Drosophila melanogaster: one gene and its partners. The protein of the gene in region 4 interacts with the protein of the main gene of each other region in a pairwise test. Each region holds a gene or a part of one and is shown on either strand. Other genes may lie near its edges.

What was found.
Region 1: the proteins of Cpsf5 (region 4) and Rab3-GAP interact in a two-hybrid assay, tested with the Drosophila melanogaster proteins (one large-scale study listed by BioGRID).
Region 2: the proteins of Cpsf5 (region 4) and TwdlM interact in a two-hybrid assay, tested with the Drosophila melanogaster proteins (one large-scale study listed by BioGRID).
Region 3: the proteins of Cpsf5 (region 4) and Dlip1 interact in a two-hybrid assay, tested with the Drosophila melanogaster proteins (one large-scale study listed by BioGRID).

The regions. Positions count from the first base shown.
Region 1 is NT_033779.5:12,056,362-12,067,146, forward strand, and holds Rab3-GAP (Rab3 GTPase activating protein), read right to left. Parts: upstream 6,824-10,785; 5' UTR 6,796-6,823; coding exon 6,720-6,795; intron 6,665-6,719; coding exon 6,355-6,664; intron 6,302-6,354; coding exon 4,508-6,301; intron 4,443-4,507; coding exon 4,226-4,442; intron 4,165-4,225; coding exon 4,037-4,164; intron 3,978-4,036; coding exon 2,852-3,977; intron 2,667-2,851; coding exon 2,469-2,666; intron 2,406-2,468; coding exon 2,229-2,405; 3' UTR 1,943-2,228; downstream 1-1,942. Other genes in the region: RpL7-like (ribosomal protein L7-like), read left to right, coding at 61-71, 138-786, 854-967; CG34164 (uncharacterized protein), read left to right, coding at 1,532-1,852; firl (firelighter), read right to left, coding at 7,246-7,509, 7,568-7,928, 7,989-8,143, 8,205-8,358, 8,909-8,931.
Region 2 is NT_033777.3:26,615,926-26,622,656, reverse strand, and holds TwdlM (TweedleM), read right to left. Parts: upstream 3,540-6,731; 5' UTR 3,491-3,539; coding exon 3,476-3,490; intron 3,399-3,475; coding exon 2,547-3,398; 3' UTR 2,433-2,546; downstream 1-2,432. Other genes in the region: TwdlB (TweedleB), read left to right, coding at 1-89; TwdlP (TweedleP), read left to right, coding at 1,333-1,995.
Region 3 is NC_004354.4:9,153,519-9,160,022, reverse strand, and holds Dlip1 (dorsal interacting protein 1), read right to left. Parts: upstream 1,402-6,504; 5' UTR 1,347-1,401; coding exon 947-1,346; intron 887-946; coding exon 756-886; 3' UTR 648-755; downstream 1-647. Other genes in the region: NdufA3 (NADH:ubiquinone oxidoreductase subunit A3), read left to right, coding at 184-417; Ost48 (oligosaccharyltransferase 48kD subunit), read left to right, coding at 1,592-1,733, 1,808-3,015; His3.3B (histone H3.3B), read left to right, coding at 5,362-5,643, 5,783-5,911.
Region 4 is NT_037436.4:9,406,008-9,414,335, reverse strand, and holds Cpsf5 (cleavage and polyadenylation specific factor 5), read right to left. Parts: upstream 3,299-8,328; 5' UTR 3,061-3,298; coding exon 2,915-3,060; intron 2,858-2,914; coding exon 2,593-2,857; intron 2,520-2,592; coding exon 2,354-2,519; intron 2,182-2,353; coding exon of another isoform or gene 2,147-2,181; exon of another isoform or gene 1,134-2,146; coding exon 1,019-1,133; intron 946-1,018; coding exon 924-945; 3' UTR 501-923; downstream 1-500. Other genes in the region: Atat (alpha-tubulin acetylase), read left to right, coding at 1-90; CG4022 (uncharacterized protein), read left to right, coding at 4,370-4,816, 4,904-5,073, 5,145-6,123; Cpr67B (cuticular protein 67B), read right to left, coding at 8,297-8,328.

The DNA of each region.
Region 1 (10,785 bases), on a different chromosome or scaffold from region 4:
TATTGTTTTGGTGCTTGCACGTGTTTTAATTTACTTCGATTAAAAAGCCAAATACCAGCAATGTCAGACAAGTGAGTGATTGAAAAACTATAAAAATGTGTTGACCCTAAACATTATCTTATACTTTTGATCCCTAGATATGCGGTGCCCAACAAATTGCCCGGCAAAACAGTGTCGGTGCTAAAGCATCGCAAGAGGAGAATTCTGCAGGATGAATCTGTTGTTACGCAGAAAAGAAATGACCGCATCAAAAAGAGAACCGCCACCAAGAATCACCACAAATTCCGCCGTGCCGAATCCTTCGTAATGGGCTACCTGAAAGCAGAGCGCACGTCCAAGCGGATCAAGCAAACCATTCTGCGCACCAATGTCACCGAACAAAGTGCCAAAGCTGCCGACGATTCCAATCCCAAACTGCTCTTCGTGATGCGCCATGCGGGCAAGAAGATCTTCGACAAGACCACCGCGGATATATTCCGAACCCTGCGCATGGGCTCGCGCCACAACGCCGTCTTCATGGAGAACACCAAGGAGAACCAGTTGCTGCTGCGCGTTATCGAACCCTTTGTAGTCTACGGCAATCCCTCGCTGAGCTCCATTCGCGAGCTGGTCTTCAAGAAGGGCTTCGCCCGCATCGACGGCAAGAAGACGGCCATCCAGTCGAACACCATGGTGGAGCAACAGCTGGGCGACAAGGGTGTCATCTGTCTGGAGGATATAATCCACGAAATTTGCACAGTGGGTCCAAACTTCGCCGCTGTAAATGAGTTTCTGTGCGCCTTCACGGTTGGTTAACAACTTCTCTTTTGCAATTCTTAAAACTATACTATTACCGCCATTTGGTTTTTTCCAGTTGTCCAGTCCCAGCAATGGTTGGCAAAAGAAGGTATCCGTCTCGTACAAACGCGGTGGCGAGTACGGCGATCGTGGCACTGCCATCAACGAACTGATTGCCCGCTGCCTGTAGAGACCCTAGCCTAGTAAACCCTTAAGTGATTGTTCAACCTCTATAACCCATTCTGTAGCTAAGCCCAATACACATCTATATACAAACGTATTCTATTTGAGCGTACTTATTTAACGAAGAAAATAGATGGTCAGGTCAGCACTATCGTGAGTTTACTGTATGCCTATAAAAGCAATCCTGCGACTATTAAGGAACCACATGAAACTGTCTCTAACGACATTCCTCATTATTCTACATGTTTATCAACATGATAAACTTCACCCACGAAACAAGTTCTTTGCTTCTTGGCCTTGCGTGTCCCAGCCGAGTTCCCAAATTGAACAAACCAGAGAATCAACTTTCTGCCTCGAATAATAAATAAGTCATAACCGAGGTGGCTCCTCGCAAACGAAAGGTATGCCAAACTGAACTACTTGTTGCCATGAAGGAGGAACTGTTGTTTTTCGATTAGTCGGAGTCAGTGCCACTAACCTAGTGCAACTCGGGTCGTCGTATCTTTTGTTCGGATAAAACTCCAGGGACTACACATTGGAATTCAAAATCCTTAGATTCAATTAATTCTCAATGAATTCAAGTTTCAACAGCGAGCAGTTGGACACCGACCGCGATGGACTGCAAAAAATTCTGGCCCGATCTCTCAAGGAACCCATTCTTGGCAAGCACTTTGCCCTGCCTGGCCGCATAGAGCAGAGTCCACCCATCGAACTGGACACCAGCCAGAGCTACATTGCCGTCTACACTCATCTCAAAGTGCACGCCACCATGATGCCGGAGAGATTGCCCACGCCGGAGGCAATCGGACGAATACAGGCGGAGAACTTGGAGGCAGCGCCCAAGGCACGAAGTTCAAAGACCCGCTTGGATCCCTGCTCAAATATAAATTAAATTACGTTGGGCATCAATAAAGAAAGTATTGTTATTTTATCTTTTGGTATCCCTTAAATTTAGTAAAAGAATATTAAAATTTTTTTTTTTATTTTATTAAATATACATGTTCATAATCCTTGTAGGCATAAGCTTCACATCAAATTCGTGTTGAATACATCCTCCTATCGGTGCAGATCTTAGTATCCTTTTTCTTGAAAGTAATTAATATGATGCTTTTCGTAGGTTGTTTAAATCGCTACTAGGTTGATAAGTATAAGACAATTAATGGGACCGCATGTGGTGCTTTAACAATCAATATTGGGTTCATTCTTGAATCCATAAAAATCATGAGAGAAATGTAAAATAACCAAGTGTTTATGTGTCATCCTCACTCCTAATTCTGCAGGATACGCACGGCGTTGTACATCTGGCCAATGATGGGCAGCTGCTTGGACTCGCGCCGGCAAAGGTATTTGTAGGCATGCGACAACAGCCTGTCCAGGGCAGCCACATCGATCTCGTCGGGCTTGGTGGCCGCGATCTGAATGTTGTTCTCCGTCATCGGTTCCTTCTGCGTAAGCGGCGTGAGAAATGGATCAGTACTGCGAATGATATATGCGCTTGCAGCACTTACCAGGTTGTCTAGGTAGGCCAGCAACTGGTGGCCAACAGAGGCAATCTTCAGGAACGTGGACTGCGAGCTCTGTGCGTAAAGATTAAGTCTACGGCCAGCGATCTCCAGCAGCAGTCGGCCCAGCTCCTCGTCATCGCTGATGTCCTGGAGCAACACTTGAGCCTCCGCATCATACCCAAAAGCGTACAGTTCCACCACCTGGAGGAGGGAAAAATATTTGGAATATATTTTCTATTCCATTGTGTTTCCTCTGTTGTGCTCTCTACGGAGCAAACTAACGAACTGATGTTGAAAGGCAAAAGGGATTGTAAGCTCCCTGTCATGTGTGTTCATGGGTTCCTAGATTAGGAATTCTGGGATCATATATGTATGTACATTCTTACCTGCCGTCGTAGGATAGGAAGTTTATCGACCTCCCAACTGTCGGCTAAGGCACAGATCTTGCCCATGTAGAAAACATGATCGAGAATGTACAGCTGCTCCAAATCCTCTCTAATCAGATCCATGGTAGCGGTGACAAGGCGACACAGGAACTCAGTGCGCTGCTGTTGCAGGACAAGATCTGGTGCAGGCAAAACATAAGGCAGTTCCTTATTGATGTCCGCCAGCAGAGCTTTGTTGCTCATGGAGTCAAAAAGCGTGGTCAGTGGTTTTGGAATGCGCAGCTGGAAAAAGGAAACGAAGTGCAGCACGCTGCACAGTTCTGTTTGAAGACGGAGCAGCTGCGGCATGGCATGGTGCTGCTGGAGAGCCAGAAACTGCAATGGCAGGGCTCCTTCGCTGAGCGACTGCTCGAAGTGCAGTTCACGCTTATCGTGCTCCATGGAAGCGGTGAAATGCTGCAGGAATTCGAGGCTGAGTTCTAGAAACTCTGGCACTTTACCCGCAGACATCTCGAGATCTTGCTGGCACATCTTGTCCACTGGCAGGCGTCCCACTTTTTGAATAAGCTTCGCCGCCGCCTGTAGAGGAAACTTCAGGGTGGCATTCCACAGCATGCAACATATTCCATGCTTCAGGGCCCAGTCAGGTGTACGGAATTGGTTTAAACAAAGTAATGCTGCCTTTAGGTGGTCCAGCGATGAGAGCTGCTTGCTCCACTGGACCATGTACTGCCACGACATGAGACTTAAGAGGACGCCCGATTCCAAGCTGAAGGGAAAATGCGCACGCAGCAGAGCCAATCTTTCAAGAATAGGTTCATGGGCTTCTTTACTCGCCGCGTACACTTCCTTTGCCATTTCCAAATCCTCTTCTGATTCCGCGTCTTCATCGACTGACTCCTTGGTAGGCTCATCCTTTATCTTAACTTTGCTCTCGTCGTCTAACTCGTTTTCGGGAGGCGATATCTCCAAAACTTTACTCGGATGCAATTGTGCACTGATCAGCCACTTGGCTGTCAGTTCGGTGACGATGCCTTTGCCACTGCTCACAATGCTTTTGAGACTGCAGTCCGGTGGCTCGTAGGACATCTCTGGACCAACAGGATCCCGGCAGATGAGAGGCTTACTGCGAAGGAAGCAGTGGTTCATAAAGGAGCTAAGTGGAACGATTGATTTGGCACTTACCTTAGTATGGCTCCTAGCACGGCCACATCCTCTAGCTTGCCAGTGAGCAATCCCCACTGAGCCTCATCGTGGGAGATACGCTCCCAGCGCTCATCATCTTCGTTCTGCGAGGATTCATCACAAGATCCCTAAGGAAAAAGTGTTTTTCGCAAAAGAGTTTTTGATTTTAATGACTAGGAGTAGACCTACCTCTTTTCTGTTTCGCCACAAATTAGTCGCTACCGTTTTGCATACAATGGCCACCAGCAAGCCCGAAAATTGTTTACTCTCCAAGAGAAGTTCCCGAACTTCCTGCCACCACGGTGAAATGGCATTGTAGGCATAGTCATGGATGTGTTCACCAGCCAGATCACAAATGGTCTGCACCATAGCAGCAATTCTGGACATGTCCTCCACTACTTCATCACTAAAGTAAGAAAAGTAGATTGCACATAAATTGAGAACGGAATTTATAAAATATGTTTTTCTCACCAGTTGTTGTACTTAAAGGGCTTCTCAAGCCAAAACCAAATAATCAATTTAAGCAAATCTCTGCTGGGCAAACACGCCTGATTGATCCACTGCTTGAATTGGCCAAAGCATAGACCTTGGGCAAAGAACTGACTAAAGAGATCGATGCTTACGGCGCCAAACTTATCTGACTTCTCCGGAAGTAGACTTATCCCATCCGGACTATCGATGTTAAAGATGCTCAGGTAATCGACAAATTCTTCGGTCTTGTGCTCCGCCTGCAACTTGAAGCTCACTTCACGAGTGGCGGCGGGTTTATCCTTCTCGGTGCCATCGTCCAGGAGCAGAACCAACTTGTTAATGGTGACAAGATCAGCATCGGAAAGCTCCAAGTATTCTACGGGTGGCTCGTTGTCTTCACGCTGATTGGCTTGACTTAGGGCCAAGTAGAGATCAGTCAAGCGTTTATAGTTCTCGATTTGGTTGACAAACTCCTCGGAGCCCGTTGATTCAGAAAGAGGTTTCTTTATGAAGGCATTAATGATGGATTGAAACACCTGTGGCTGCAGCTTCTTGCTCTTAAGCAACATCTCCAGACACTGTTGTCGCACCTCTAACGTCTGCAGTTCACTTGCCAGTTCGCCAATCTCCTGCAGCGCTTCATCTTTGGCTTGGCCATGGTTTATGGTTCTGAGCTGGTTTCTGAGGCGCCTCAGCATATGGATATCCCGTGATGTCTGGGAGCTGGTCTCGCTGAGCGCGTAGTGAAAAGGAATGTGTATCTCCTTCAGGCTGCCATCGCTGGGGTCCAGGAACAAGCAATGATTGATGGCTAAAGATTTTCTTGACTGACTACTGCTATTACCAGATCCACTGCTGCCGCCTGAGCCTAGGGGACTATGATTGTTGTACATAAGTTGCCCGCTCTTCGAAACATTGAATGCAGCCACCTTGGGTCCGTTTTGCAAAGCCCATATGTCCAGGCAGCCCATTCGAGGAGCGTAGATCACCAGGAACAAAGCCTTTCGCTTGTGCGTTTTGATACCGCGAACGGATTTTTCTTTAACTGGCACGAATGCGCACTGTGCATCTCGATAGCCCTTCCAAACACGCAAGATAATAGCCTGGTGCGTATCCACCAACATTACACGGTCGAGATTATCGGTAACGACAGCCAGGCGTCCACCAGGTGCCACAGACAAGGTCAGTCCATCTCTCTTGCCGTCATATAGACGACAGCGAATCCGCATCGGTGCTTCTTTCGTGGGCACCGGCAGTGGTGATTCCTCGGGCGATGGCAGGGGCTCTGGAGCGCGTCGAAAGATTCCGCCCAGCAGGTTCTTGTAAGCTATTCCGATTACGTCTTTGGCAACCTCACCCAGCGACATCGTTTTATAACCCTCCTCCGCCTGAAAGAAGCCCAAATAGGGTTCTGCTCCGGCGGCCAGAACCTGTGAGCTCCTCGGCGGCGTGGCGTGCACCTTGGCGAAATAACCGAGACCGATGGTCTGCTGAACAATGTAGTCGTATGTGGGAGGTCGCTGGGTGGTAGAGATGGCAGCATCATTAATGACGGCCTCTCGTTCTTGCTTGAACTTATACTTCTGGAATGGCACCACATCAGCAGTGGGATACGAACTACGCTCCAATGCACCTCTTTGCACATTGTGCCGGCAATTGTTCAGCGTGGGCAAAATGTCCTGGCCCTGGATGAAGCACAGGCAGCGAGGATAGATGATGTAGAGCAGTGAATCTGCCTCAGAATGTCGCGGAGCGGACTGCAGCTTGACTCCAATTACTGGATCCTCTTGGCAACTTGAAAAATATAGATGGTTAATGCCGTAGATACATTTAATTCCACAACTAACCATTGCGAGAAGAGTTTTACACCCGAGTCCGTGTAGAAGGTAACCATGCCAGAGCACAGGCCAACTGCCACGCAGGTCCATTCGATGGCTCCATCGGTGCTTTTGTTCTGAGTCATCGGCAAGCAGGTGAGGCTAGTCACGATTTGGTTGGGATCCTCCAGCTCGCCGCACCAGCCAAGAACGTAGGTGTTGCCATTGCCATGGCTGCTCCAGCAGGTGCTGAGGAATGCCAACTTTTCACCCTGCGCCATGGCAATCAGTTCCCCAGTTGGTGAAATGGCATGGTTTATCGCGTTTAACCAGTTGTCATCTGCACGGATCGGTTTAGCTATGAATACTTGCTGCAGAGACTTGTCTTATCTTACCATGTCCGAGTCCAAAGTATTCTTGGACTTTCTTAAAATCACGGATTTCTCCGCAGTGTTTTACTTCGCAAGCCATCGCCTTTTGTTTTCATCACACAGCTGATTTGCAGTGGAGTTGACAGTGCAGGTAAATTTAGCTATAGCCAGATGTATCGATTATCGATTATGTATCGATTTCAATGCAACAGGTAACTCCAATAATAACGAACTAATGAAATTCATTAAAGTAATTTTCTTTGTTGTACGTAATTTTAAAACATTATAAACTGAGAGGATGTTATTCATCTAATCTGCCCAAACTAATAAATACTTGGCTTATATGCATAGATGTTAAATTATAAGTTAGAATACAAAATAAATCAAATAATTTTTTGATAATGATCAAAATGGTAAACTGTGCACTTACTTTGTACCAAGCTGAAAATCTCTATAGCTTTATTTTAATGCATACTCCAATAGTAAGTTTATTGTACTGCAACATATTGTAGTTCGATCTAAGATCTAATATATGAATATAGAAGGTAAACTAAATCAAATCCGACTCCACACCGCTGTCGATAAAGTCCTTAAGCATCAGGCCGCAATGATCGGGCAGGAGTCGCGTCCAGTTGTTGATGTAGAGGAGGCAGCTCGGGATGGTTACCTCCATGAGGTCGGTGCGATGAGCCTCCACGATCCTTTTGGCCACCTGCTTGGGATCGAGCAGGCCCAGGATCGATGGGAACTTCACCTTGGGATGCTTGCAGAGGCCAGTGTTGGTCATATAGGGAAAGATGGTGGTGGTTCGAATCTGTAAATGGATTCACACATGGATCACATAATCTAGCACATTCACATGGTTATTCTACCAGATCCCTGAAAGGTCCCTGTCGTAATTCGGCATGCAGTGCCTCCATCAGACCGCGTACAGCGAATTTGGTGGCACAATAGGGCACCAGGTTGGAGATGCCCACCAAGCCGGCAATGGAGGACATGCAAATGATGTGGCCACGACACTTCTCCTGCATGTGCGGCAAGAAGGCCTGGATGGTCCAGAACTGCGAGAACACGTTCACGTCGAAGACCCGCTGGATTTCCTCGGCCGATTGCTGCAGAATGGGATGCGTTGGCATTATGCCCACATTATTAACCAGCACCGATATGCATCCAACATCCGACTTGATCCGATCCGCCAGTGCCGTAACCTCATCGCGCTTGGAAACATCGCAGCTGCCAATGTTGAACATAATGTTATTATTTATTTAAACATTTAGTAAGTATACTTAATACCTGTAGCTGTAAACCTCGCCGAGATTGAGCCGTTTGGCCTTCTCCACCGTCTGCAGATTATTTTTGCCATCGATATCCACACAAACCACTGTGCTACCCAATGAAGCATAGTGTAGGGCCAACTCCCGACCAATTCCATGCCCAGTTCCGGTTATCTGCGCAAATACAAGTTGGTATTAACTTATTATGTTATTTTTGCACATGTAATGCTCTTACCAAAACTATCTCCCCGCTGACATCCTTCTGCTTTTTGGGCAGCACAATCTGCACCAGCGACACAAACAGCTCCAACAGAATTCGCACATAGAGCTCGAAAAATTGCAGGACATCCTTGAGGACGTCGAAGATGCGCTTCGAGGCAGGTGTTGTGCTGCAATATAGAACATACATATATAGTGCACCGATCGTAGCGAAATTCGCAACAGCTAGAAGCGTTTGCTGGCCACTCCGAGTTGGCAAATATTGAAACAAAGTCGAGTCTCGACAAACCCCCAAATGATTTAATTTATCTATTTGTATGCGCCCGCTGCATGTGCAATGTTCAAGCGCTCGGCTCGGACTTTGCCAAGACCCCATAATATAGTACAACATAAGATATTGGAGAATGCTGGTGGGGCTCAAGGCGCCTCGAAATATTGACACTGGGTCTTGGCCCCCTTTTTCGGGTACTCCCGTTGTTGGCCAAGGGAATCATAGTCAAGGCTGCCTGGGTTGGAAAAAGCATTTACATATATTGATAGATTTAACCAGAGCTACTAAACAAATGAAATAGTAAATATTATAAATTATAACATATTTAGAGCTGTAAATAAATATTAATTTCAACATATCAACTATATTGCTTAAACTGCACCAACTGATTGTGACATTTCATCCGTGCCATATGTGTGGACAAACCACCGATAAGGATTAACACTTACTGGATAATTTCCCGTTCTATCATGGTGAGGGTTTCTTATCGGGTATATGGGTTGGGTTCCCTGGCTTCCCAAATCCGGTGCCCTTTGACAGCTCAATCGGGCAGAACCAAGTGCGGTGCAATGGCTATAATGAAAGATAATGGTCTTGAGTCACGGATCGTTTGACTGACTGACTGGACTGGACTGAGTTTGGACGGTCTCTTCCGCATTTGCGGATTTCCTTTTCACAATTTTTGGCTTTTGAGTTTGGCGAGGAGGAGTTGTTGTTGTTGGTTTTTTTTATTTAAGTTTCTTCCTCGGATTTACAACCGGCTGGCCAAGAGCGAGCGGCGTGGGCGAGCGAGGAGGTGCTGGAGCCACCGGCGACAGTGCAACATTTCCACTTTCGTTTTCGATTTGCCTGCCACTAAATGGAAAATTACGTGCACTCCAATGTGGCACACAGAAAAGAGACAAACCCATACGAAAAAAAAACGGGATGCAGGAGCGTAGGAAAGGGGGTCTATATTGATAATTAAATATATTAAGATTTAAGCAAATATTTTTAACATTTTTCTTCATTCAAGTATTTAAAGAAATTTTACTAGATTTATATAGAATTTATATAGAATCTCAAAATTGCTTAGAAATAAACTCAACACTTCTATTGATCTATAAATGAACATTATATAAATTAAAGTCGCCCCATTTGAAATTTCTCCGTACTCCACTGTCCCGATGACAGGGGCTCAAAAAAGTGCAAGTGACTCTTTTTTCTCTTTTGGCCGTTCTCTTCGCTTTGGCCAGTTGCACATTCAGGCTCTTTTATTTTCTTGGCAAGAGGCAGACACATGGCCTGCTGCAATGGGGAAGCCAGATGTTTGTTGCAACAATCGTAAGCCATAACCATAAAATGCAACGAGGGTGGTAACAAGAGTTTTCCCTGCGTTTCACGTTGTCTAATCACAAGTTACGTAAGCTTTTCTCTATTACGCGATAATTAATTTATGGCATTCATTTTGGTTATAATACAGTCTTTTAAATTCATTTTTGCAAAGGTGTGTAATAATGATTAGTTTAATCGTAATTATTTACTTTTACCAGCGTTTTTGTGGCTCAAGAATGATAATTACAAATGCTGATAGTTATGACATTAAAAATTTGTAGCTCTTAATGAATCTGCGACTAGCTAACCAATCATTGTTTCCAGTGAATAGGTGTGTGCATTTAGTTAATGGTTGATATAATTGATTTGGCTTAATATCCTGTAATAAAAAACTAGTTTTCAGTTTTGGGGAGTTTTAATCTATTGGCAAGCCACTCAAATCACTTTCACAAATCACACACTATACACTATATTTAAATGTTTTCAACTCGAATACAACAATGCGATTTTAAATGAATAATATGCTTTATTTACACAATATGATTACTCCCAATGGATCGTTATCTTTGCTTTTGGATAAATTTCGAAACCAAAGACGAGACTGCAACGACCGATAAGTCTGGCTGCTCGGCGCCAAATGATTCGAGTTTCGAGCCTTCCACAGCAATGAAGCCTATGCAGCAAAGTCGGGAATATTGGAAGCTCCAAGAGAGGCTTAAGAGAGCGGACCGACTGGAAGAGCGCTGGAACGCGATCCTTGAAGTCACAGCCATTTAAGACTAAAAAATTATGTTTACTTTGTTTCCCTTTCCATTACAGAAATAAGAAAAAACAACTTGAGCGACCTTCATTGCGGTCCAGACGAAAACAAAAGACCGGGAAGCAAAAACGTGGCTTAAACCAACTTGGCTAAGCATGATTTACAGTTTTCAGGCTCTGTTTTTGCTTATTTTCAAGATGAGTAAGCTTAAGTCCACTGACAAGTTCAAGTTCAACGATCATAAAAAGTGAA
Region 2 (6,731 bases), on a different chromosome or scaffold from region 4:
CCTCCGCTGGACCCGTCCAGAAGGCTAACGCCCAGATCCCCGACAACGCCTACCTGCCCACTTCTGTGTTCCGTCGTCTGCGTTTCTAGGAAGGCTACATCTTGGACTCCATTAACTTAAGCAAATCTCGACTGAAGAACTCATTCTTCCTGTTACACGTTGTTGACTAATGCATAATTACACCAATAAATTTGAAATTTAAATACGAAAATTTAAACAAAGGTCTACCTTATGTGTTTTATAGAGTGAGATTTTTATTGCGGCTTGGCCATAGTAGCTAATGGTGCATTAAGTCCGCCTTGTTTGGCTTGATTGTTTGCGGATGGGTTAAGTATAAAAAGTGCCCTTCAAACTATAAATATCTCGAATTGACGACATCAAGATCAGGAAAGGCAGTTCGGAGCAGGTTTCCTTTATGAGTTTAAGCCCTCGTCGAATCATATTCACCTAGACTTTCCATACAAATCAATGGACTAATTATCTGACATAGCCAACTCGCATGCCGCCAAATTAATTGACTACAAGATTAGATCCACCCACTTGGCCAGCGGGAAGCATTAATACCGGACTCCCGGCCAACGAGGAACTGGTTCTTTCCCGACGACAGCTCAAGGTCGCGAAGATGCCAACAACTGTTAGATGACCTGGTTTCCGAGGCCCGTCGTGTGTCACGTACAATTAGAAAGGAATCTCAAGTGCAACCCACATACGAAGGCAATGAAGATTTATGCCCAATCGAAACCTGATTAGCCATAAAAACAAAGTCTAATCATTAATTTTATTAAGCTGACGATCACTTTTTTGTTGAAATCATTAACAAATAAGCGGTTCTGTATACATATTCAAGCAAATATAACAAAACAATCCGATTGAAACAGCCAAGAGATCGGTTATTTTTCTTTTATTTGTGCATAAATTATAAGCCAATTATGGGTGAATCACGATAGTTCGGAAAACGACTGGACTCGCAATCGGATCTTAGCTCGGACTCGGACTTCGATTCGGAATCTCATCTCAGTCGGCGGCACGATTGAAGCTGTCTTTTGCCCACAACAATGTGTTAAATGTGTTAAGAGCGAAATTATGTTAGCAGATTAACAGCATTCCGAAAACCCGATGGCCAATAGCCACTGGCCATTCGCGAGTCACGATTCGTGAGCGGAGATCGATGATCGCCGTGTTCCGCCAGAGGGACCCCAAAGTGACTAGACGGCTCAATTGACTAGATTTTCTAGTCTAATTTTAAACGTCGTCGCGTTGGCGGTATAAAAGGTAGATAATGAATGCTATATTATTCATTCGTCTAGAATATCTCGTAGGCATCGGGTCAATATGCGTGCCCTCATTATTCTAAGCATTGTGGCAGCGGCAAGTGCCGGTAGCTTGTCCGGATATAATTACGGACAAGGTGCGACAACCAGTATTGGGGGCAGTGGTGTATCCCCAGTCCCTGCACTGGCGGGACCAGTTAGCTATAGTGCCGCTCCCCAGGCGTCAGTTCACAAGGAGTTCTACAGCTTCTATGCCAACGATGACGACTTCGAGGATAAGGCTGCTCTCCAGAGGGCTCTTGCCTCGGTCAAGAAGAACATTCGCGTCATCTTCATCAAGTCGCCGGAGAACCGTGGCTACGAGAATGCCGTTTTGGCCCTGGCTAAACAGGCGGCCCAGCAGCAGACTGCCATATATGTGCTGCACAAACAGACTGATATCAACGAGCTGGCCCAGAAATTCAATGCCGTGCGCCAGAATGCCAACAAGAAGCCCGAGGTGCACTTCGTCAAGTACAGGACACCTGAGGATGCTGCCAATGCCCAGCGGGCAATCCAATCGCAGTACGATCAACTCGGCGGCTCCAGCCAGTCCATCAACGGTGGCGTGGCTAATGCCATCAACTTTGCATCCCAGGGAGCTGCTCCAGCACGCGTTACTCCTCAACAGGTGCCCCAGAGCAACTACCTACCCGCCAACATCCTGAGTCGCCTGCGTCACTAGAAAATCGATTGTTAAACGTTGTTTTCGAATAAAAGTTATCTAATTTGGTTATGTAAATTATTGTATTTTCATTTGGTTAATTCCTTTAAAAATTGACGAAAGCAACATAAGTATGCAACAGTTTTCAAAATAAATTGTATACCTATTTATAGCAGCGATAATCGAATAAAAACAGAAAGAAAGAAGAAAGAAGAAATAAAAATACTTGTTCAAAACCCAAGATCTCAGCAGCCATAAACTGGTATTAAATTTTGAATATGGTTAAAGTATAAACTAGTTCCTAAGAAATATATAAGTGCTTCTACTTATGTGCGCTTTCAAAGTTTGCAAGAAAATATTTCGCTGCAAATAAATCCGAACTTGCGAAGTTTCGTTCCCAATGAACTCAGCCTGCAAAGTTTTTTGGTTTTTACAAATGCACTACAACAAGTCAAATTGGTTTTAAAATTTAAGAATTGAATTTATTTAAGCATTAGTCAACAAAAACTACGATTTAATATCAGTCAAAAATCGCTGGCGTTTTCGATTCCGAAAGGAGTGAAACGAGCGACTTAGACGCGACGGAAGACCGAAGATGGCAGGTAGGAGTTGTCGGGGCTCTGGGCGGCGGCCTGACGCACTGGAGCGGCGGAAGCGAAGTTCAGGACGGGGGCAACACCACCGTTGTGGGCCTGGCTGGATCCTCCCAGCTGGTCGTACTGACCCTGGATGGCGCGCTGGGCGTTGGCAGCGTCCTCGGGAGTGCGGTACTTGACGAAGTGCACCTCGGGCTTGTTGTTGTTGTTGCTGCGGATGGCGTTCAGCTTGTTGGCCAGATCTCCAATATCGGCCTGCTTGTTCAGGACATAGATGGCGGTCTCCTGCTGGGCAGCCTGCTTGGCGAGGGCCAGGGCGGCGTTCTCCAGGCCACGGTTCTCGGGTCCCTTGATGAAGACAACGCGCAGGGCCTTGTTCAGGGCAGAGGACACACGCTCCAGCTGCTGGGGCTCATCGAAGTCCTGCTCGTTGGCGGTGAAGGTGAAGAACTCCTTCTCCAGCTCGGCGGTTGGGGCAGGGGCGTTGTAGGAGACGGGGGCACTGAGGGCGTCACCACCACCAATGCTTCCGATGCTGCCAATGCTTCCACCACCAATGCTGCTCAGACCACCCAGACCGGCACCGCTTCCGATGCTGGCTCCAATGGAACCACCACCAATGGATCCTCCGATGCTGCCGCCTCCGATGCTGCCGCCTCCGATGCTGCCGCCTCCGATGCTGCCTCCTCCGATGCTGCCTCCTCCGATGGAGCCACCTCCAATGCTGCCACTTCCAGGAGCAAAGGACAGTCCGGAGCTGGAGTGTCCCACGGGCTGGTAGTTGTAGCCGAGCTTATCGGCGCAGGCGACTGCCACCAAGCACATAACCTGGAGATAAAGAAAACAGCATTGTAATCCTTGGTATCCTTTTGGAGTATTTCGTCGGCGATCGAACGTATACTTACAATGAAGGCACGCATTTTGAATTTAGTTCTTTGACTTTGACCACTTGGTTGTGTCTGACGTTTGCATCACCGAAAGGTCCAATATTTATACGAAAACCAACGATCGGTGTCACTAAACTGCGCTCAAGTTCATGCAGACTTTACCATCGTTGTATTTGTTGGCTCCGCAGCATTTTTTGGTAACTTCTTCGGCAGCTTTTGTCTCTTGAAATGCTATCCACCTTCGAAAAACGAAGCTTGTGCGATAAAACAATGGCCAAGCCGACGTGAACAAAGCGCATCGATACCTGGCCGCCCTATTCTTGCAAATGTTGGCGTCGACATTATGCTAATTCCACGATCCCTCAGTCCAAGTCGTAGTACCATCATCGAAAATTTTTAGGCACACGACCCTACCCGTCAAGTTGTAATCCAATAGAGCAGGCTCTCGGCGGAGGAAACGGCTGAAAACTCGTTTAGCAAAAGCCACTACTATAAATGGTCATGCTTTCAGTAAATGAAATGATTTTCTTCATATTTTGTATGCTAAAACATTTAGCGGAGCATCCAAACGAGTTCGAAAACGACTCGGTTTTTCTACACTTTTTAGTTGATCCAGCCGCATATTTCTAGCTGGGAATCCCCAGCGATTATTGCGTCCCCCTTTGGTATTTGGAATATTGTATATGGTATATGGTATGGTATGGTGTATGGTGTATGGTGTATGGAACTGGCTGCTCTAGGGTTTGGCCATATAAAACCCGAACACTGGACTGTGGACTGTGGTAGGGTTGAAAAACAATGGATCTGAAATGGATAGAAATCAATTTTCGCCAGCCTTTTTGCGCATCCATTCATTCATCCGTCCATCTATCCGACGGCCCATCTGTCCATTTGTCCGGAGCTCGTCGCTTGGCCATTTAACCTGTGGCAAAAACACGGCTTCGCAAAATAGAAGCCATAAAGCTAACAACCGTTGCGACCTTGAGGTTTTTTACTGTTGACCAGCACCCGAAGCTATTCGGAATTCGGCGGTAATCAGCTGGCGCCAGGCGACCATTTAATCTGATCAGCGATTATCACGTTTTTCATCATGGTTTATTGATATCATAAAAATTATGGTTTTTTATTTTATTTCGGCAAAGTTTTCGAGCAGAAGGGGGGTAGAGGCAGCAGCAAATCCGCTGAAAACTGATTTGATTTGCATAATTTAGGAGAAATACCCAAGATCCATATTTAAGATAGCCGAACCGATTTGCAAATCAATAGTGGCGAATGCCAATCGCGGTTATGACTAATATATATATTGATTGATATCACGGATAACTATAGCGATGAGTAACTCGAAGATGGGGTCAGTTAGGAAATCCGCTAAGACATCACAACCATGATATCATTTTCAGTGACGGACACACACAAGTTCTATATGGTTCTATATCTAATGATGCTATATGATGCCCCCCATTCCACGCTGGCCGGGATCCAATTAAGATTCACATTCGAAGCAATAACCTAAAGTCAAAAACAATTTGTCTTGGCTTTGTGTGCGGCCCCACCTTTTGCCCACTGCCAACTGTTGCGGCTCGCCGATTGGCCAGCATCTCAGCCAAGTTAGTCGCTGGTGGCAATGTCATATGCAAACTAATCAAATGTAAGCATAATAAAACAACCCAGCCACAATTTCAAGGTCTCGGGCGCCACACGCACATAAAAGATGCACGCAGCAGCGACATAAAAAGTGGTCAAAACGCGGGAAAAGAGTTTCCAGCACGAAATCGAAGATAATAGCGGTCGGACGACGTTGGCGTATCAATAAATAAATAAAAAAAAAACGGCTCAAGCGGACAAAAAACATCTACGGGAGGGAATTTCTGGCACCACTTTATGTAAATGGCCTTTTGGGTCAATCGATCTATTTACAAAATCTGACACTGTTTATTATTTTATCCATTATTTTTAGTCTTTCTCTCTTCGAGACAACAAGACTGCCCCTATATTATTTTATTGCCATTGTACTGGCACCCACCAGAATGTCGAAACGAATAAAATTGTGCATTTAATTTATTCGGCTATCACCTGGCTGGTGTCAAAACCGGGCGGTGCCTTTCAGGTGCAAAAATCCAATCAAATCTGTCGCCTCACCATAAATTGGAGCATTAGTAATTTCCTTAAATCATAAGCTTTATTTACGAACGACAAATTTGCCAGTTAAACCCCAGTTAAACGAGTTTGTTTGCTTCTAGCCTTTCTTTTGCAAAAATGTTTGGAGCTGCCGGCTTTTCGAACTCTTTTACGAGCAGACCGTTTCTATTCTTCTCTAGATACGAGTTTTAGTTGCCAAAATTATTTCCGCATGCCTGGCGACAAATAAAAAACAAAAAATGTTACCCAAAAAGCTGACTGGCTTGCCGCAAAATCGTTTCTCTTTTGCAAAAGAAATATATGCAAATATATTAAATCTGATATGCAAATAGCCGATATCAATTATTTCAAGCGCAAAAACCCGAACCAAACCATGGAAACTAAACTAAAGCTTATGCTAAAAAAACGCAATATTTTAAAAAACCTATCCGAGAGTGCTGAAAGGAATAAATCAAATCAAATTTCGCCGAGCTGGCCAATTTGTTTGGCAAATTGTGTTAGCGATATAAATATTTTGTATTGACAATCAAACGGCAACGACGACAGATGCTGATTATTATTTTGCGTGTTTATGTATTTTTTGCTTGCAACCAGCTAAATGGCCGAGATTATTTATTAAAAAGTTAGCCATACAAGAGATTTCTGTTTGTGCACATCAGCCGAAAATGGCATAAGAAATCAACAATAGGAAAAAATATAGAAAATATTAAAAAAATATGCTCTATGCTTTATTTCTACATGGATAGAGCGATAAGAGCGGCAAATAAATTTGCGGCTTTTTGCGCGATCCTTGGCACCCACAAGAAGGCAATAAATTATTTTCGAGGTCTCCTTAGTACGCATTCTGCGCAGTAAAAAACACATTTTTGTCTGCCTTATAGTGCATATTGTCGTCGACGCTTGAGCTCTCCATTTTATTTTAATTGCAGGCCTGCCTCTGCCTAATGCCAGCTTAATGTCCCAGTTTTCAGGATCCCGGACTCTTTACGAGCAACAGCACGGTCCCAGTGCAAATTGTCGTTTAATTTATTAAGCAGCGACTATGCCGGCATTTGATATGAATATGTGTGTGCAAAACACTAATTACAGATACACCACGCCCACAGCGAACCGGGCGCAGCCAACATGCATATAT
Region 3 (6,504 bases), on a different chromosome or scaffold from region 4:
AAATTTCGTTGCCTGCATCTGTGCGGCGATAGCGAGTATCGATAGCCAGCAGGCCAGCTCTAATCAGCTGTTTGGTTTGTTCGTTGTGTAACTTAACTGAACGCGTTGAATTTTTGGTAAATGCTTTATAATTTTATTTGCTGCGCCCAGTGAACTAATAGCCCCATCCCGCAGTGTACCAAGATGTCCGCATCCGCTGCCCGAGGCTCCACATCGCTGCTGAAGCGCGCCTGGAACGAGATTCCGGACATCGTCGGCGGATCCGCTTTGGCCCTCGCCGGAATCGTTATGGCCACCATCGGAGTGGCCAACTACTATGCCAAGGACGGCGATAACCGACGCTACAAGCTCGGCTACGTTGTCTACCGCCACGACGATCCGCGCGCCCTGAAGGTGCGCAACGACGAGGATGACTAGAGGAGTTGGACCCTTCGGAAAAATCCTGTCGGCTTTCATCTTTGATTTTTTTTTGTTTACTCTAAAGCTAAGTAAAACAAACATCCAAATGTACAAAAGCCAGTGTTCAGTGGTTCAACTATAGCGGGTAGTAGTTTTCCAGGTTTTTTTTGTGTTTCATACTTACACAAATGCACTCTATATCCCTACAATTGCAACGTTTTGGGTTTAAAAACTCAAAGAAGGCACTTGTATAAAGAGAAGGAATATATATATATATTCCTAATTTAAAATTAATTTCACAAAAGATTTATACACTTAAAACCAAATTACAAGTAAGGGAAAAAACAGACAGTTCTCTAAAGATCCTTGTGCGAGAACTTTAAGTGAAATTTGCAGGCCTTCTCCGTGTAAAAACATTCGCCGCAGAAGCCGCACTTGAAGGCCGGTCCGGAGTCGCTGCTGAACTCGTTGGTGGGAGTAGCAGCTGCTGGGGAAGATTGAGAAGTTTGAAATCTACCTAGCCTAGATAAGAAAATTGTACACCCACCTCTTTTGGTCGACACTGCTTCCGCCAGCACCGTGGGCAGTTGCTCATTCTTCGGTTCCACCGGATGAGTTTGGGTTTGCGTGTGCGACTGGGATTTGCTGGCCTGGCTGCGCCTTCGGCGCTGCTCGAACTTTAGGGCCACGTTGAACTCGCCGTGGGCGCCCAGCCACTGGTGGCTGAACTCGTAGGCCATCGACAGCTTCTTCACGCAGATGCGGCAGATCTGTTTGGGATAGTCGTCCTCTGGGTCCAGTGGCGGCAAGGAGGCGGGCAGGCAGGACGCTAGCATATCCGCAATGGGCACCATCTGGTCAAGCACTTGGGCACACTCATTGTAAATGGACAGCGATTCCAGGCATTCGTTTCCGCACGTGCGACAGAAGCTCTCGAATATGTCCATTATGGTTGTTGCTAAGGAATGTTATTCACAATCTAAAATTTGAATTAAAATGTTTTGTTTATAAATTGGCTAGTAAATGTAATCGATTATTAATCAAATCATCGATTTTTTATAATTTCTTGAATTCCTTCTGGTATATTTGTATATATTTTGGCACACCCTACCAGTATTCGGCCACACTGACAGCCAGTCATTTTTTTTTTTCAAGAAAAGCCGGAGAGAATTTTGTGTTTTAGTTGGATAAAATGATGTGGAAGGCTCTCCTGATCGCCGTTTTGGCGATTGCCCACTGCCAGGCGGTACTGGAAACGGACGCCAACACCTTGGTTCTGCTGGACAACCTGGCCATCCGGGAAACCCACTCGATCTTCTTCAAATCGCTGCAGGGTGAGTGAAAATGCCGGTTAACCTCTGACGTGGACAATGAAATGTGTTGATAATTGTTTAACTTTGGGCTACAGATCGCGGATTTAAGCTCACCTACAAACTGGCGGATGACTCCAGCCTGCTGCTGTCCAAATACGGTGAATATCTGTACAAGAACGTCATCATATTCGCACCAAGTGTCGAGGAATTCGGCGGCGATGTGAGCGTGGAGCGTTTGGCCCAGTTCGTCGACGATGGCGGCAATGTTCTGGTGGCGGGCAGCGAGAAATCCGGCGACGCGCTAAGGGAATTCGCCTCCGAGTGCGGCTTCGAGCTGGACGAGGAGAATGCGGCGGTCATTGACCATCTGCACTACGATGTTAGCGATGCTGGCGAGCACACAACCATCCTGACCTCCGCCAAGAATCTTATACAGGCCGACACCATTGTGGGCAAGGCCAACAGGCAGGCGGATGCCGCACCGCTGCTCTATCGCGGTACAGGACTGATTGCCGACAAGGAGAACCCGCTGGTACTCAAGCTGCTGACCGCCGAGAGCACCGCCTATAGCTACAATCCCGAGGCAAGTGTCTCCGACTATCCGCATGCCGTTGGCCGAGGCACGCTGCTAATCGCCGCCCTGCAGGCGAGGAACAATGCCCGCGTAGTGTTCTCCGGCTCGCTGCTCTTCTTCTCTGACGAGAGCTTCACAACGGCCGTGCAGTACGCACAGAGCGGTGTGTTCCACAAGCTGGCCGGTAATCGCGACGTGGCCGAGTCCATTAGCAAGTGGGTATTTGGAGAGACTGGCCGCTTGCGCGTGGCATCCGTGCAACATCACAAGGAGGGCGAGCTGCTGCCACCGGATCAGGCGTACACCATCACCGATCCGGTCGTCTACACCATCGGCATCGAGGAGCTGGTGCAGGGCGAGTGGCGCGCCTTTAAGGCCAGCGACATTCAACTGGAGTTCGTGCGCATCGATCCCTTCGTCCGCACCTATCTGAAGCAAACGAACACGGGCGCCTACCAGGCCAAATTCAAGATACCCGACGTCTACGGCGTTTATCAGTTCAAGGTGGACTACAATCGCGTGGGCTACACGCATCTGTACAGCACCACCCAGGTGTCGGTGCGTCCGCTGGAGCACACACAGTACGAGCGCTTTATCCCGAGCGCATTCCCCTACTACACCAGCGCCTTCTCAATGATGATCGGCGTGTTTGTCTTCTCATTCGTGTTCCTTCACTTCAAGGATGAGCCCGTGGGCAGGGCCGCCAAGGAGGACAAGAAGTCGCAGTAGTATGCACGTTCGTTCAACTCAAATGTAACACACAATGCACTAAAATAAAGTTCTCTGCAGAGAGAAACCCACAATCCATAAAAGAACTTGGCTTTTTTTTTGCTTAATGAAGCTTATATTTCATTAAAATTAGCAGAGTCCAACCCATTAAAACATATTCATTTTTAATCTTAGGTTGGAGTTAAAAAAATTTTAAAAAGTTATAAAAATGTAATTAGCAAAGAACAGAACCAAACTATTTGGCGGGCATGGTCTTGTCAGACAATCGAGTGTAATCGAATACAATCGAAGTAGGCCTTCGCCTACTAGGCTACCATCTCTAGATCTCAACGAAACGAAATCATTGTGAAAATTTCTCTCGTCCGAATTTGTTCGTCTCGTGTTGAAAGTGACAAATTGTGAAGAATAACTTTATTCCGTGTTTAACGGTGAGTTTTTTTTTATTGCTAAATACTTATAATACTAAGTGTGGTTCTTAAAACGCACGTGCTTGTGGCCGCTGAATATGTGCGTGTGTGCACTGTTTTCCAAATTTTTTTTTCGTTGTGAATCGCCTGAGTTTATGTTTTGCCGTTTTTGGGGCTCCGCCGGCCGTCCAGCGGAGCCCTATTTTTCACCGCACACACACAGGCGCATTCTCGCTGGTGGATACATACACAAATACACGAAGATGTGAGAGGTCTCGTATTCGCACGACTGTTGGTTGCATTGTTGTTTTAGTTGTAATGGTGAGGTGCGCTGCTTTTTTTTTTTTTCCAAAATGGCCGCCAAGCAGGAGAATAGCAAGAAATAAAAAAGTTGCAGTCGTTGATGAAATTGGCAAAAAGAAAATTAAAAAAATAAATAAAAACGATTTGCCAATGTGCGAAAACTGGCGCCAAAAAGTATGAGTAATCGTATTTATGCTGGTTGGCATAAACATATAAAAGTTATTTATTTATTTCTTAAGTGGCACGCGCGTTGATGTGTGTGTATACTAAACACGCACATTGGTTAACAAATGCAAATGTGCATGGCTGCGCTTGTCATGCGCAGTGTGTGCCATCTCTCTTTCCCACCGCCAGCTTTTCCCGTATGTTATTGCATAATTGCTTTTTATTTTCTTTTTCCTTTGGCATTCTCTTTTGTGAGGATGTGCAGCTGTCACATCTACACGCACACACATGCTGTTTAGCGGAGAAACGACGCAATTAACTGCTGGCACACCTTTCTTCTCTTTCTAACGCGAACGTGCCCCTATAGGCATCTCCCTTCGACTTGCCGCCTTTCAATGCGCGCCAAGTTTTTACCGCTTGATTTTCCTTCCTTTTGTTTATGTTTACTCTTTTGGCGCTACCAGTCGAAGAATTTTTTTCGTTTTCTTTGGCTTCCTTTTATTTGATATTTTCCTCTTGCCTGCACAAGTAATTATAAATTGAAAACTACAACTCATTACTTCAGCGTGATTGATTCCGCATAAAGCGCGAAAAAAACTCAAGAGGCTGTACATAAAAAGAAGGGGAACACAAAAAACGGCGACTCACGATGTTTGCCCGCGAAGAAAAGAAATGAGATTTTCAAGTGGTCCTCCATCGTGGAACAACTACACAGCGAGAAAAGCAGATGTAATATATCTATACCACCAATTGAGAATTAGATGGTATTCCTATTGCTATTTAGAACGGATAAATTAGGGTTTTTTTATGGACCACCTTTATGAATTATCAGAAATGTTTCTTAAGTTTTTTTAATTATAAGTAATGTGAAAACTTTAGAATCATCTTAGCTAAGCTTCATTTGCACACCAATATAAATATGGATCACACTATTATTTTTCTGAGTGTTTTGCTGCCGAGGCACGATTTATTCCTTTGCCACTGAAGTGGAAGTTTCTCGAGTGCCTCGTTCCCAGAAGATGGGAAAATATTTGAAATGGGGGGCAAGAAGGAAAAGCAGGCAGCTGCCTCAAAAAAATTTCACCTTCAACCCTCGTTATCGTTATGACCACGAACCAAAGTTCCTCGTCAGTTGGCCGCCAGCGCTTCGGCGCTGTGCATCGGTCCAAACTTTGGCTCCCAGCGATATCCATCCGTGTATATCCGTCAAGAGTCCACGACACAGCACAATCGTATCCTGGCCAATTGCATCGTGCACTGCGCCTGTGCTGGACGAATAGTTTAGAGTTTGTGCCCAGTTCATCGAGTTGTCTTTCTCATCTGGCGAGGATCAGCGTGTTTATTTTGGGTACCAACCAAACAATGATTGTAGAAGTGTTTATTTAATCTGTGTCAATCTGGAACGCGCAAAATCTAACATTTGCATTTCCCATTCTCTTAATTGCAGTTTAAAAAAAAAAGCTAAGAAAACATGGCTCGTACTAAGCAGACTGCCCGTAAGTCGACCGGAGGAAAGGCTCCTCGTAAGCAGCTAGCCACCAAGGCTGCCCGTAAATCGGCGCCATCCACCGGCGGAGTGAAGAAGCCCCATCGTTATCGTCCCGGAACTGTGGCTCTTCGTGAGATCCGTCGTTACCAGAAGTCGACCGAGTTGCTCATCCGCAAGCTGCCCTTCCAGCGTCTGGTTCGTGAAATCGCTCAGGATTTCAAGACCGATCTGCGTTTCCAGTCGGCTGCCATCGGTGCCTTGCAGGTGAGAATTATGCTCCAAAGAATCAGAGTGGCTTAACTTAACTAAAAATGACAGGATTCATGGGATTATGAAGGGGGGGCTACTAATATCTAAAAGGAACTTGGTTATCCAACTCATATGAATTTCTCTTGACTTACAGGAAGCATCTGAGGCGTACCTGGTGGGTCTCTTCGAGGACACCAACTTGTGCGCTATCCACGCCAAGCGCGTGACAATCATGCCTAAGGACATCCAGTTGGCGCGCCGCATCCGTGGCGAGCGTGCTTAAGGTGGATCAGCAGGAACGCCAGATTCGATCACTGTCGTCCATTCCCGAACAGTAGACCATTCACGTACCGTTGTAGGAGAGGTGCACGCCAAGGAGCTATACCAGCGACACATTGATCCAATCTATCATTCATATTTACATGTATACATTTATCATCCTTTTGTTGTTCAATCGAATCGTCAGCATGACGTTGTCGATAAGAAAAACACCACACACAAAACAACACACAACATTACTGTAATGCTTAAAAATTATTTTATAACTCTTATTATTACTATTATCAATTAGTTTTTAAGTTTTTTTTCTCGCCTGTGCGTCGTCGGTGTCACCGTGTACGTTGCGCCGTGCTCCTTCTTCTCCAAATCCGGGTCCACCTCTTCGTTTTGGAAGGAGGGAATACCACCGGGCGGCCGTTGTCGCCTGTCCGCCTGCAACATCCGCCACCAACCACTCCAACAACTGTCCAGCTGGCGGGCTTCGGTTTCCAGGTAATCCGTGATCTTTAAGGCGCCTGCCTCGCCTTTATCGCTTCGATCGAGGAGAGGTTCACCATCTGGCTGCCGGGATGTGCGGAGCCTGGAGATCGGGGCCAA
Region 4 (8,328 bases):
GATGCCATGTCCACCGTGTCCTCCGGCGGCGGCGGCCTCACCGATCAGGGCTACTACGATCTAAAGTTCTATCACAATAAGTTGTGGTGAAGTCGAAGTCACAAACCAGAAGGCACGCAATATTTGCTAACATCTTTTGTACGTGTGGCATAAGCATAATTAAACAAAAATCTAATCTAGTCTGTAAGATTGTATTGTCTAATCAAAATAACACACCAAACGGTTCCTGTACTTCAGTTCGATGATTTCGTTGTGAGCTTCTTCTCCGACTTTTGTTGATTTGTTCATTTGTTACAAGCCACGCACACCGAAGAGCATCCGTAAACTAAACTAGAGCCTCACAATTAAACGTTAACAATAGCAAATTGAAATATACGTAGATTAATTGCCGCCGGTACTGAGCTAGATAATTTTACAACACATACTCGTCTTTGGTTGAAAAGATCCTTTATTAATAATTTCGCTTTGTACTGTGAATTTGCAATAGCCCTTAATGTTATCCAGCCCGTGTGTATCTTCCAATTACAGAAAACGAGAATATTTCGAACAAATCTATGCCGAGTACATGCTATAGGGATAGCGCCAGTTGGCCAGAATGCATCTTCATAACCATACTTAAAATTTCTTAAACATTGTCTAACATTTAGTTGATAGAACAAAACCCCCAAAATGCAAATAGATATTAAAGATGAAGATATACAAATAAAGCACAAAATTTTGTCGACTCTATTTGCCAAGTGAAAGAGACTGGCTTTCCATTTTATCTGCAATACAATTATGTACGTTTACACACACACATGAAATGGAAATCTACGGGCTGATCTGTGGTGCTGAAATCAGTTAGGTAGCGCTATCGTTGGTGCTGCTGCTGCTGCTGTTGATGCTTAACTATTGCTGGACGTGGGCCCCTCCTCCGTCTGCCCTTACATGTAGATAAAGTTGAATCTGCAGTGAGGAAGCGTATGTATATGTAAGTGGGGCGGCAATCTATAAACTTCGATATGCGTTACGAACTTACCTGCAGAGGGCCTGCGGCAGAGATGAGATAATGGGTCCATATCCTTGCGAGTTGTCGTATAGCTCGAATAATGGCGCAGCAACAAGCTTATAATTTTTGGGTACAGCAAATAGTGCTAGATTACGGAAAACGATAGAGACAGAATTCATGTATGTAGAGATATCAACGAACATTGAAATTCACAGGATATATCATCTAGGGATATTACAATCGGTTGTACAATTTACATATTAAGAATCATTTCGCAGCCGTATGATATAAAGAGTCGTATGCGTTTCGTTTTACATTCATAGTTGGTTACGTTAGACTAATTAATTGGATTCGCTGCGACTTGCAAAGCATGACCGGCACTTTGCTGGCCCAGCGATGTCTCCTAATATCAGTTATGAACATAATTTCAATTTAGAGCAACATTATACATGATAAGTGCGGTTCGAATTGTGCGCTGAAATGCTTCAGCTGGTGGACAACATCAGTTCATTTCAGCGCACAGCGAATGCGTAAGGGCCAAAAAAGGTATAAACAGTATTTGCTTGTGTTTACATAAACGAGTGCTTAATTTAAGGAGCGACTTGCGACCTGACTGCCCAGCATGCGTGCAAATCTGCAAAACACGCGAGATTTGGGCACATGACTGCGACAGCCAGCAACGTTACAATGCTCTTCTGCTGCCTGCCCGATGGATTGGATTGCTTTCGATAAATACACAACAACCTTAAGATGAACGACACATGACACTTCACAAAAGTAAGAATAGAAGCTAGGAAATAAATAAAATATGTAAATAGAAGGATAACATTGCTGCGCTCAGTCTCACAAGTATGTCGACATATTTACAAAATTAAGTACAAGAACAATCTTTGAATTTCGAATGATAAAAATCGGGAAATAACAAAATATGCCAACACTCAGTCCTGAGCAAAAATACAATTTGAATTTGATTTTCGACATGTTGTACAATTGGACTAGAATCAAAACTAACTAAGGAGTCGCCTGCGCCAGCTTTTGCGATCTGTTTGTTTCTTTTCTGTTTGATCTGTTCTGTTTGCTCGATTTGTTGTTCTATGGCATTGCACTCTTGAGATTAGAGTTGGGTAGATACGACACACACGGCGCTAATGGAACTGCTCAGGGTACATCGTAACTGGCGTTCCCGTCCGTATCTAAACAGCATTGAAAAGATATGACATGAGGTTTGTTAGCGTATTCGGTTTTTGGCAAACAAAAACAATCTATAGGTTATATAAAGTACATGGAGAGATGGATATTCTGGATACACGGTGTGCTCGTTATACCTACGCGTAGGGACTTACAAAACGCCCTGCGGATATTTACCCTTTTCATGTAGCTGGACGAGGAAAAGCCGCTTGTGCTCCTTGGGCTTGGTGATGTGCGGCGGAATGTATGGATATTGCGGTGGCTCAAAGTTCGGCCGCCACCAGTTCCCAATCGTGTCCTCAACAATCCACTCCTGCTTTACGCCGTCCTGACGACCCAGCGTCTACGAAATAATAAAAGTAGTGATAGTTAAGATCAAATAACAATATTTAACTATGGCGCCACGTTTGACTTACCTCGGATAGCAATCTCTTGAGGCCCTCGACCTCATCCTCGCCGGCGTTTAGCTCGCCACCGGGCAATTTGAAGAACGTGGTGCCCAGCTGCAGGAGCAAGACATGTGGCAGTCCGTGCTCGTGGACCAGAAGCACTCCCTCGACGGAGCGCCGCATTCCGATCCGGTCGAATTCCTCGCGCATCCGCTGGAATCGGGATGGCACCGACGGATCCTTCTCAAAGAGCGGCTCCTTGGTGCCGAATGTGTAGTTCGTAAGGGGGTATCTGAAACAATCGATCGATCTATGATGTGCGTCTATGAATGAAATGTGTTGTACCCACAAGTTGATGGTGCGATTGATGGTTAGCGCCTGGTTGGTGTACTTCTGGGTACCGTTGTTATTGCTGCTGGCTGCATCCGCTTGGCCTTGGCTTCCGCGGCGCGGCCAACCGGAGCCCGATTTGTTTGAGACTTGCGAGGACGCCATTTTGTTATACACACACCCCTGTGGGAAAATTTGCGGGACAAGCTGGCCGACTTTCTACCAAATCCTTTGGTTGTGCGTTGGAAACTTGTATTCCAATAATATTATAATCCTTAACTGTTTATTTACAAGTTATACTATAAATGTAAACCCGTTTTAAGCCGCTTAATTACACTTTTCTGTCCAGCGCTTGTGCAAAAAAATTAACCGGCTGGACGAGGGCTGCACGTGAATTGATTGATGATGAGCAGAACTGGTTCGTTGAACTAGATTATGGAATTAATCGATTTCGTACTTTGTGTGAAATAAACTTGTAATGACCTTTTGCTTAATATTTATTAAAGATTTATTCAATTTTTTGTTTTATTTTTAAATGCAGTTTTAAATTATTGTTTGTTTACATATGTAACGACAGCCCTGGTGTTTCTTGTCTAATGGCAACGCTCTGAAATTGCGCAGCAACCCCATCTGGCCACACTGACCCATTAGTTTTTTGTTTATGTTGGGTTGTCGGAAAAATCGGCTGTTTTCCGTGTGTCCGTCTGCCATGAAAAGCTGCTAAAAAGCTAAATATAAAAATCAGCGCAGCACACACGTTCCGCTGCCTGCATTGTTTGCCCATTCTAATGGGAAATTATGTGAGTGCGAGTCAGGAAAACGCATCGTGTGTGTATATATACATATATACATAAGTATGTAACTGCGCCCGTTTGTTTGTGTGTGTTTTTGTGTGCATGGTGCAATGGAAAAGTGATTATTATAAATGAAAATCAGTGAAATGTGTAAGTGTGGCACCGCAAACGCTTTGAACTTTTCCATTTTCATGTTTTCACCTTGTCTTCTCTTCTCTTCTTCACCCACCTCCCCCGTAGTCAACCAACTCCCACTTGTGCGTGTGTAGGAAGGCAGAAGGGTGTTTTGCATTCGTGTGCGTGCCAGATAAAAAGACTTTGAATTTCTGGAGGATATTAGTGTCAACTGTGTGGGGTATAATACGCCGTAGGCCCTAATATGCAGGCAAGTCCATTAATTACGCCAAAGGTCACAGGTTAGGCACGCAGCCAGGATCCAAGGAGCAATAATAATGTTGTATGAAGGCGACCTGTAAGCGAGAGCGAGAGAGCTGGTGTTTTGGTGTGAGTGCGTGGTAGAACAAAGAGGACGAAAAACACGGCTAACGAATTCGCCGCACGACACACTCGCCGCATGGCGAATTCAAACGTATCCCAGTGAACGAATGAGAAACAAAAGGATATCTTATTGAAACTGATTAAACTAAAGACTGCCGAATAGTTATATAAAATCCAAAACCATGTCTGCGGCCGAACTCGAGGCGGAGGCTTCAGCCCAGGAGCAACAATCCCAGCAACAACAACAAAATCAATCACAAAGCGAGGAGATAAATACAAACACTGCCATCAATGCAAATGCAACCACAACAAATAGCTACAACAATAATTTAGATACGGAAACCCAGCTTCAGATGCACCAGGATCCGCAGCAGCAGCAGGAACTCGAGGGCAATAGCAACAATGGCATCACAGGACTCGGCCTCAGTCTGATGAACTCCTCACCGCCGCCGCACAGCTACCGACATTCGCGGGCCTATCGCCACTTCAAGAATCCGCCACAGCCCCACATGTGCATCCGCACCACCACGGAGGCGGGCGAGGAGCTCTTCATCAATGTCCTCAGCTGGACGCGCATTGTGATACCGCAGGAGCCCAGCGATCCCATTCCCCTTTACGGAGGCATGCGGGTAAGATTCCTTAGATTAAGTGTCCTCAAACATTCACGTCGGTGTTTCCTTTATTAGTTATTTATGTTAATGTTCTTATTCATTAAGGTACCGCCTGGCAGCCCACGCAGTCCTCCCATTGTCTTTGCCGTAATGGCCAATCCGGAGGTGCTCAAAGACTCCGGACGTCACAGCAAAGATCCTGAGGAGCGACGAGCTATGGTGGAGCTGATGTGCGACTTTGTGGAGGCTATGAATCCAGGCGTGAAATTAGTCAGGTATATAATAACACTATTAGTTTACTGCCCGATTAAAAACAAGAATAAAAATATATGTAATACATCTCCAGAAACGCCGTAATACTCAAGGATCGCGATATCTCCGGCGAGCTGAAGGATGTCTGGAATGCCGTTCAGGCGCAGCGCGATCGCGAGAGGGAGGAGCAGATGATGCAGCAGCGCCAGCAGCAGCACTACCAGAACATCACCACGCAACAGATGTTTCCCAAATCGCCGGATGCATCGCGGGCAGCTAGTGCTGGTGCTGCAGTGAACGAGGCCAGCTCGCCGCCGGCTCACTTGTCTGAGCCGCTGCTGGTAGAGCAGGGAAATGGCAATGGCAATGGCATCACCCTGGCCGTGTTTGCCCAGCAGCTGGACAACAAAGTGGCCAGCGAGCAGGGTGAGCAGCAGGAGCAATCGCCAGTTTCGGAGGATGCTTGCGTGGATCAAACGGATGCAGGCAGCTCGCTGAATGGATCAACAACTGTGCTGGACAATCAGCCGGTGGCAGTGGAGAACGAACCAGAAGTAAAGGTTGCACCACCGGCAGCCACAAATGGTGCTAGCACTCCCACACCCAGCCACGCAACACCCACAGTAACAGCCACAGCCACATCATCGCCCAGTCCAACTCCAACTCCCGTTGTTGCTCCCGTCGTTACAGCAACTCCTCCACCTGCTGCTCCCGCAAAGAAGGAGAAACTGGGCGGCTTCCTGCCCAACGGCTGCATCTTCCCGCGCTTCAAGAACAACAAGCACAAGGACAAGGACAATAGTCACAAGGAGGGCAAGAGCAAAGAGAAGACCCTGCTGAATGCGCTGAAAAAGAGCAAAGAGAAGAAGGTGGCGCCCAGTGAACAGCCGACAGAAAAAGCCGCCGCCTCGGACAACGGAACAACGCAGTACGAGAAGAACTGCATCAACAATCTGGAGTGCGAGGTGCAGAAGCTGGACTTGAACAGCGGCACCAATGGCGACAATAGCATGTTCATCAAGCTGAAAGTTTCGCCGGCCAATGCCACAGCAGCGGCAGCGGCGGCCAAGTAGAGATAATCCTGAATTTACACACAAAAAAAAAATAAATAAAATCTCGTAGGTAAGTGGGAAGTTAGGACGATAGAGAGCCAGAGGAGGCGGCACTCTACCAGTGAACAGTGTCACTGTGTCAGCACTTAGGGCTTAGAGTCGTGGATAGAGTCGTGTAGCATATACAAGATTTATATATACAGATATATATACAAGCATTCACACACCCGTTTTTACACCGTTGGTCAATTTTTTGGATAGCCACTCAGAACCAGGACTAGATGAACTAACAGTTGTGCCATGCTCCAGCTCATAGACATTTATAGACGACAGCGCTTCTCCCAGGATCTTCCCCGGCATTTAACTGACAGAATGATAAACGTATTTACATAGTTCAATATATGTATGATTCGCATACAGTTTGCCTTATATACAACAAGCCCGAGAGAGCGACAAGAACCTAGCAAGAACCAGTTGATAAACACGAGAATAAATGTATTTAAAAACATAATCGTCGAATGAAACTCATGCGCCAAATGAACTTACCAGACTAACTACTAGCTCCATTCCCAAATTGTCACATCATCTCATCGTGAACCATACACCCACCAGGCATTTGCCCATCGATTCATCCATCCATCCATCCATCCATCCATCCATCCATCCATATCCATATCCATATCCGTGCAAAAGTATTAAGAAACTTCGCAGATCCAAGAACCCTAACCCTGGATCGATTGATCTCCACGCTTTGAAGTTGAGGGGCAGTGAAAACAGCGGAGGGAGTTTTAAAGCCGGCTCTTTAGTGCCACGACTAACTTATGTACCTTAGTATAGCCGAATGCGAAAACAGTATACAGATCCGCAATGTCGCTATTATGATTTATATTTTAAAGTTTAACTTTTAGTTTCCCCTTTTGGATACCGAAACGGGGAAACTACATTTCATTCTATTTATTTTCCGTTCGTGCTTGTTGTGTTGTAATTGTGTAATACTACTGTTGGAATTTTTAACTTTTACTGTGTTTATTGTTTGTGCTAACCCAATTCCAATCCCAATCCCTCAACTTCAAACGAAACCATTCACGAATCATATATTATAGAGAGTAAAAAACCACTAGAAATCGAATAAATATTCGGGAAACACCAGTGAAAAATGGTAAAACAAATAGTTTCAACTGCAATATCGGACTGAACAAAGCTGCCATATGAAAAGTATATACATGTAATGACTTTGTATATAAAGTTAGCTACAGATTTCCATAAAAGAAAAAAACGAAATTTCAATTGTGATTCCATCGAAAATCTAATTTTGTTTCCACATCGAAGAATTTAATTGAAGAACTCGAAAACACACACACAACGTATACCGAATAAAATATAATTTTGTTTGCTGGAAAAAACCGCATGTAAGCGGAGAATCCTAACAAAAAGAACTTTTCTTTTTGTTTTTAGTTCATTATATTTTTTTATATAGGTGCCATACAGGAAGCGTGTATGTGAATTAATCAAAATTGATTTCATCCAATTGGTATTAAGATTAAGCCCAGAGTTTCCTTAATTGTGAGTTGAAACGAGTACCGAAAACCCTAAAGTATATATACTAGTTTTTAACTGGTTGTAAATGAGAAATGCTCGTGTAAAATTAGTATTAAATTATAGCACGAACCCAACAACAACAACAACAACAAAAAAGCAACAAACATAACACTACAATTACAAATTAAATTAGTTTAAGACCCAAGTCTTCTAAGCGAAGAGCAAAAAGCAATAATTTTACTTGAAAAGAGAGTGACACGACAAGAAAATTATAATGATAAAAATGCGTGTGTGGCTAGTAACAGCAAAAGGGTGGAAATCTGGAAAACTCACGAACTCAGAGAGATGCAATAATGTTTCCTTGGAAATATCTAGAGTTTTCCGGAGCAGCCCGGAAAAATGTCTACAACAAACAAAAAGCACACACTAGCGGATGAAAAGCCAACAAAACAGAAAAACACACATTTTTATATGTATATGTATGTAATAATAAAAGATCGTATTTGACAAAAGTGTATTTAAAGTTTGCTATTTATTTTGCGAAGGATTTCAATAAATATGTGAAAATGTCTTAGCTACTTTCTACAGAACGACCTATACAAGGCGATGCGATGGATCCACCAAATCCATAAGGATCTAGATCAATATCTGAATCTTACTCATCCTTGTTGTTGATGGCACGCAGGC